Drosophila melanogaster: one gene and its partner. Changing the gene in region 2 together with the main gene of any one other region gives a genetic interaction. Each region holds a gene or a part of one and is shown on either strand. Other genes may lie near its edges. The genes, in order: Chc and Nak.

Region 1 (3,931 bases), on a different chromosome or scaffold from region 2:
ATTCAAGTTAAAGTTTAAGTGAGGTTTTAAGTTTTCTAGACACGTTGTAATAACAAGCGGACCTGTTTACTAAGCCTACGTTACTTTAAGCTAAAATCTGATCCTCTTCGGACATTCTGATCGACTGGACCATCGGTTTCAGTTACCTTTGAGCGCAATGACCTTGCTAGCTGGATTCATGATAGCCGAATCCGCTGAGATGGGACGCCGCGTGGGATTGGTGGCATCGTTCATGTCAATGATGACCACTTGGGCGGTATCATTCACCTTCTCCCGCACGCAAATAAACTTATCCGATTCCATCGTGAGCGTGCTGAATGAAAATGAATTGGCGTTGATCCCGACATTTGTGAGCTGTCCGTAGTGGAGATTGAAAATGTGTGTTAATTGATAAATCGAAAATCATAGCATACGCACTCATTACACAATATAATCATTCATTATTAATTATTGAACTGGCCTGGATTGACCCACATTTACTATTAAATATTCGCAATACTTTGCTTAAGTTTAGATGTAAATTTGTATTATAACTAGTTCTATAGAAAATACACTGTATACAGACTTGAATAGAAGGTATAGCAAAGTAGAAACTCGACCTAAGCCCCCATATTTTCTGTTTACACGTTGAATTAGAGCTGGAAACCGTGAAATTTTCATAAGAAAAGTGGGGAGCTTATGAATCGGATATAATCGTAGGTAATCGTGGCATATTGGTGGGTTGTACGTATGTGGATATGTAATGATGGTAGATCCAAAATATTTAATATTACTCACCTGTAAATGCTCCTGAAAGCGGATGGGCAGTGGTTGCGTCATCTTTACTACTACAGTGAGGTCTAGTTATTGACAGACCTTTACAACGTAAATGTATCTTTGCGAAAACAATGCCAATACGATGTTTTCTTGAATTGCACACTTGGTAACAGTTTGTATTTGATTTGTTTCGAGGATTTATTGTTGTTTAATTGCGTTCGAGTTTAGTCGGTTTCTGGTTTAAGATTCGGTTTCCATTGGAACGTTTAGCTGCACGAAAGACAAAAGATTTTGGAAAAACATGTAGTTATGGACAGCACTGATGCGGCAAGAATGAGGAAAAATCAAATTGTGGGCGTTATTTTATTGTTGATAGAAAGTGACAGCGTCACCGGATGAAAAAATGAAAGATAAAGGCCTATATGTATGTACATATGGATGTAAACGCCCTTAAAATAAAACACCGAGTCTCTTATTGTATCCCCAATCGCTTTTGTGCAAGAAAATATATAGACGAAATTATTTCCTACGATTAATCCTTTGTATCGGTATTTTTATTCGTTTTCTTGCGTTTTTGCACTTGCCGTTACGACGGGAAAATTACCAGCACTTTATTTTATTTGAGGTGAGCGAGGGAGAGAGAGAGAGAGTGAGAGCGAATCAAGAGAGAGAATTTGAAAAGAAAAGAGGCAGCATTATCATCAAAAATCGCTGCTCACCACAGAAAAAGTCAGCCATGTTGAGTTGCGCTTTGAACAATTAGTCACTGACTAATACATGTACAGCAATTTTGCTCTTGTTTTCCCTCCCCCTGTGTGTGCATGAAAATCGAAAATCGCATTTAAATATCACTGTTTTGCGCCTGATAACAATGGGACAATGCCATGAAATTGACGAAATTCGGTGTATATACATCAAATTGAGTAGCGGTAATTCCCAATTCACACGCACACAGCAGCACTCGCGCACACACACTCACAGATGAGCGCGCACACTTGCAGTGCCGCAATATGCCACATAAACAAGAACATAATTAGATAAACGGTAAATTAATCGGATGCTTTTACATCAAATAAACAAAATTTGTATGTATATATTGCATTTGCAAGCGAACACACACACGCACTTTAGCACTTTACATTTTTTCCCAATGAATCGAAAGATATTTGGAGCCCGTATGCTTACTGCAATTTAACAAAAATGTACGCTAAGTACTATCATACTCGAAATAATCACGTCGGTTTGTTGCTAGATGACGGGCACACACACTGAAGACAAACTGAGCTCTTATCAAGCTCTAACAAATGTAGTTTATTTTTCTTTTGTTTGACTAAATACTGACTGCAAGACAAGGTAGAGGTGTGAAAGTTATACAATTAATGCCGATATATACGGCAAATATGCAATTGCGTGGAGTGAAAAAACATCGATACCACATTCAACATTCGAATCGATATTTGTATCGCACGATCCTACTGTTACACGTATTTATTCATAATATTCGAATGTAATTATTATTTAGGTAAATGTAGTATAACTTTGTAAGGAACAACAAATTTATTTTATTTTATCAGCTTCATTTATATTTTGCCGATAACAAGTTTTTAGATCATAATACATACGTAAGGTTAACAGGTGTTATCGAGTGATCCAATTGGATATATTCTCTAATTGGAAATCTATTTTTTATAGCAATTTAATTTGGAATGTGAAGTTATTATACCCGTTACTCGTAGAGTAACAGAACACACCCCAGAAAAAATTATTAAATTTCACGTTTGCACTCACACTATCTGCGTAACGGGTATCTGATAGTCGGAGAACGGGACTAAAGCATTCTCTTTCGTTAATTTTTAAAAATATATATACATTAATTATCTTGCTTAAGTGCTGGATAATAAGTAGGCGATAATTTTAACATTGTTCCTATGCAATACTATTTTTAAGTAGGCGATGATTTTAACTTTGTTCTTTTTCAATACTATTTTTGACATTTACACTCAATGTGCTACAGAAACAACAACTTTAGGATTTGCTCCAAACATTTTTTTTATTGTTTTTATCATTTGGAAAACCGAGTCCCAACAATAAAATCTTAATCTATGAGGTAAGCAGCAGTATCCGATTTTGAAGCACCTTTTGGCGATAGAATCTATACCGTCTTGACTTGACTGATCAAGGGCATGACAAAGGATGGGGCAAGGAGCTAGACGAATATTGCGGGCGTCCCGCTCGCAGATTTGCGGTAGTCTTCGAACGGGCGAAGGGTCCAGCACCTCAGCAAGTTGTCGAAAAGGTACACATAATCATTTTTGTCCTGCAGGCACAAAAATTTGGAAATTCTTTTATTAAAAGCAAAAGCGATGTCACTCTCTACCATGAGCAATCCCTTGAGGACTTCTGAAAGTTTTTCATTATTGCAGTGGTAAAAAACCCAGCTGGATTGTCCGAATTTGACCAGTGCTCGATGCTTTGGCCGTTCGCAGTCTGCCGCATTCCTGCTAGGCGTCCCACCCGCCCAGGATTCCTCAACCCAGGGCCATTGGGAGAGGATCCGTCGCTAACAGAATAAGGTAAACTGATAAACTCCTCGTTTCCCAGGGAAATTCTTTTATTAATATAAGTTTCTTCTACAGTATATACAGACGTTCTTACGACTCGGTTTTGGGATCTAGGAAGCCCAGGATAAATGGCAGAATGCTGCGGACTCTGAGCTTTGTCAATCATATTCATTTTGATAACATAAAGATACCACTAAATTCTGTTTTTATTTTTCTTCGTTTTCATGTTTACCTAGATTATTTTAATATATATTTACATTGAAACGTTGTTGTCATTCAAATAATATACCCTTCTCTGTGGGAGCCAATAATAATGCAAGTTCCAATTTTTTATACCCGTTACTCGTAAGGGTAAGATTCGTTGAAACTGGCAGAAGGAAGCGTTTCCGACCATATAATCTATATATATATATATATTCTTGATCAGGAGAAATAGCCGAGTCGATCTGGTCATGTCCGTCTGTCCGTATGAACGTCGAGAACTATAAAAGCTAGAAGGTTGAGAGTCCCAAGTTGAGATCCATGTTGCCACGCCCACTCTAACGCCATAATACAGCCCCGCCAAGATTATCGCCGTGAGGTAACGATGTAATCGAAGGATTACAGCGGCCGCG
Region 2 (3,931 bases):
AGAAAATACGTCTGAAGGGGCGTCAACTGCAAGGTGGGCAGTAAGCGGTTAAGGGTGGGGGCTGAGGGGTTAAGGCGGGAAAGCTTCATTCGTTAACCGTTTGTCGCTTAGTCATTTGTAATTGTTGTTGGCTGCTCAAAAATCGAATCAAAGAAAGCAGGTAAATATTGAAGGTGATTAAGCACAGTGTTACTTTGGAAGTATCCAGCATATCGAGCAGTTTAAACTTGGCTATACGCGCATTTTATTCATTGAGCATCTGCAAAAGACTCTATTTATTTTTTCTCTTTCTTAAATGAAATACCAATAGTTACGTTACTGGATTAAATGAATTAATAAATAATATATAATTTAGTTTATAATTTGTTATACTAATTCAATAACTTTAACCAAATAACCGTGTTCGTCAAACGCTCCGCCTTTTTAATTACAGGGTATGCCCGACAACAGCTGACTAATTGCCAGCGGCGCCAGCGCAGCGCAAAACAAAATTACGAATCGAGTCCGCTTGCCAAAAGTATAAAAAGTAAAAAACACTACGTAATGGCTAAAGGAAAGGTGGCGAATGGCTGGCCAGGCGGTGGGTGAGCAATCGTTAGATGATCAAATGTTGGGCGGAGGGTACTGGTGCCAGGCCAACAAGGAGGCACTTGCACTGCAGGATGATGTGGAGTGGAGCACTCCGCATTTCAAGGACAAGGACACAGCACAGGCGATTTCCTTAGGGGCGAACTTTGCCATTTAGCTCGGCGAAAGGTGAAAAACGGAAGACTGTCGGAGACAGTCGGCTGATGAGTGTTGGTCTTGCCGCTTCATTGGCTAAATTAACATAATTGATTCAATTGATTTGTGGCCATGTGTAGTGGCTACGGGAATTCAATGGGTATTCCATGGAAAAACCAACCAGAACCGTAACTGTGTTTGTACAGTCGGGTTTCTCTAACGCGGACACCCATTTGTCACAATAGAAATGCTGGCATTTCTGGTTTTGGCAAAAATAAACTCTTTAAAGACTGACATAAATTTGGACGAAATATCTGCACGCCATTAGAGAGCCGAGTTATGGACATAAATATGTAGTTCTATGCCAAGGGCAAAATTGCAGTTCAATTAGTTGGAATTTAGGTTACAAACCAGTATTTAGTATTCATAATTAATGAAATAATTTAAAATGTTTTACAGTTTTATTAAAAGATAATATATCAAAGTCAGATTTTAGCTGTTTTGAGTTTAACATCTTATACAGAAATTATTGGGAGTAATTTATTTGGATTTAATCGGAAATGCGACAAGTGGTGTCCCCAATTATGGAGGATACGCAGCTGATTTTTATGCTCTCTAGCGCTTTGAGTACGCCCCACATTTGGGAGTTCTCGCGCTGAAGGGGTTTATCTAATCTGTGACGAGGGGCGAGACCGAAAAGCGGACGGCAGGCTACTGCCCACCTGTAAATCAGGCAGGTGATAAGCATAATCGCGGGCGACGTGTTGTAGGTAGGGGAATGGGAGCACATATATAAGAGTGTATATATAGTCGTCTACCTTCTGCCAGGACATCCTCCACGGTGACCGTGACGCGTCCCACTGTGAAGACCTTGCCCACGAAGCTGTTCTTCTCGTTCGAGGACGACGAGCTGCTGCTGTTGGGCGGATTCTCCAGTCGAGAGTTCTCATTGCGCTCGAACTTAGACAGGATTTTCTTCATTTTCCCCCGATTTTCACTAGAAAATGTTTACTGCCCCAGCAGCACAACACACACACACACACTCGCGAGCACACACGCACACTAGCTAACACGGTCTTAATTGCCTGCGCGTAGGTGTTTTTGGCAATTTTTAATTTTGCGAGGGCGGCTGACGGTGGGCGGGGCGTCGGTGCCGCTGGCCAATTAATCCACTTTCGAGTCGTATCGGCTAGCTGAATAAAGCTATTCTGCGCACTTTGTGTTTTTGCATGCACACACACAATGCAGTGGAAAAAGAAAGTTGTTCGATTTTCCTGCTGCTCTCGAGTTGTTGGGCCAGTGTGACCAGGGCGCTTTGCTGCAGTCAGATGCGCAACCCGCGGCTGGTGCAGCCGCCTATCGATATATAGATAAGTTGGTTGCAATCTCGAAATTCTGAAAACAAGGAAATCCCCGTTTACAAAATAGGTTTTATGATAACAATTTTTTGTAATTTGATCCAATTTAAAAAGATAATATGGTTCTACTTTCAATAAAACATATAGCTACAGTTGCATTAAACTATCGCGCAGTTTTAATTAGCTATGCTGCCAACATCGTGTTTCCCTTATCAATATGTTATCGATTGTGCTGGTGCAATTGTAAACAAGCATCTCTAGCAAATGGTCGCTAAATTCGCAAAATTGTAGTTTGCTGGGATAACAATGATAAATACGGCCAAGTACTTTGCTCTTCTAGAGAGTTTAAGGTTTAGTAAAGCTCTAGGTAAATTGGTTAACATCATATAATAATTGTAGTATCCCTAATACTAATATTTCGACAGCAAATACGGCGAATAACTCAGGGACTGCCGAAGCCTTGGAAATCAACCTGCGAATTTTGGAAAAATATGCTAAACTCGAGATTGGTCAGCAATTGCATGAGCTGTGCCTGGAATATCAGTTAACAGACGATCACGAATCTAGTATTGATCCCGATTCGGATCGTACTATATGCTATATAATAAGATTGCAACATGTGCTACATTCGATCATGAGGAACATTAATTTCCACAGCGACGCCAAGGAGGATCTTATTTCGGTAGCGCACCTGAAATTGTGTATCCAGGCTTCCCAAGAATTATCATATTACTCGCTTCGATGCCAGCTACATGAGGATTTCTACAAGTCGCCCATCTTTTGTGAGGCTCAGGGGAAAATCAAAGCTAACTTTTCATTGATGCTTCTAAGCATTCAGTTCTTTATTAATCTACTGCATATTCGACAATACCACATAGCCAACTCGATGGAGCTGGTGCAAAGGGATCTACTGGCGGCCATTGTGAGTCTACGTGTGCAGCAAGACTCTCCACTGCTGGATAAGGCTATAGCCTACCTCTGGCAATATGAATCCAAAGCAGATTTCTTTCGCAACATCTTGCTTTTTAAAGCTACGACTCTCTGCCCAACTCTGGCCCAATTATTGCACCGTCAACTCTTAGGAAAGCTTCACTTACCCCAAGGATTTGCTAGTCTTGTTGAGGCCCTGCATCAAAATCCCAATGTGAATTCTTCCAGAAATGCGGAAATTGTGGCTAGTATTGTGGCCAGAAAAGGATTTTCTCAGTTAGCGCAAGAGAAGATGGTTCTCCAGGTGCTAGAATATTGTAAGTTCTATCTGCAGAATGCGGACAAAATGTGCGCCGGTGTCCTATCGCTCAGAAGACTTTACGATTTAAGTGATACAAATCAAAAGCTGATAAAAGAAATATTATTCAAACACTGGGAAACGCTTTGTAACCCAGAAGACATTATTAATGGCCTTATCTTAATGGATCACCAGGAACTGTGCAATCGCATTCTCTTATGGCAGCATCTCTTTTGTTCTTCAACCGTAGCTTGCTTACCCAGTAATCTACTCGTTCCCTACCTTCCTTTGCTGCTCCAACTCTACGATGGCCTTCCAATGGAATTACCGGCGTCATCGCAGATTTCTGCCATTATTTTGCGTTGTCTGGACAACAGAGAAATGAAAAACGAATTACCTGCGATACTCCAGAAGCTGTTTAAATGGGAAATTGAGAAGGAACCTCCTTGGAAGTGTTTAAACCCACGCATTATAATCCTGCCTTCCATGAACACAACTCAAATTCAGGTTAAAGTAGCTCACAAAGATCATCTAGCAGATCACGATATGGGCAGAATATTGCCCGGTCTACTCACATCAAGCTCTCATCATTCCCTCACCTGCAAAGTTTTCCTCTCTCTTC

The links.
Region 1: of Nak (region 2) and Chc, changing one enhances a phenotype caused by changing the other (phenotypic enhancement), as found in Drosophila melanogaster (one study listed by BioGRID).

Annotation. Positions count from the first base shown.
Region 1 is NC_004354.4:15,833,346-15,837,276, forward strand, and holds the start of Chc (clathrin heavy chain), read right to left. Parts: upstream 2,146-3,931; 5' UTR 1,942-2,145; exon of another isoform or gene 1,883-1,941; intron 1,568-1,882; exon of another isoform or gene 1,476-1,567; intron 1,410-1,475; exon of another isoform or gene 1,287-1,409; intron 1,027-1,286; 5' UTR 820-1,026; coding exon 778-819; intron 355-777; coding exon 147-354; intron 1-146. UniProt on the Drosophila melanogaster protein: Clathrin is the major protein of the polyhedral coat of coated pits and vesicles.
Region 2 is NT_033779.5:18,966,712-18,970,642, forward strand, and holds the start of Nak (Numb-associated kinase), read right to left. Parts: upstream 2,034-3,931; 5' UTR 1,705-2,033; coding exon 1,542-1,704; intron 1-1,541. Other genes in the region: Tango6 (transport and golgi organization 6), read left to right, coding at 2,388-2,448, 2,507-3,931.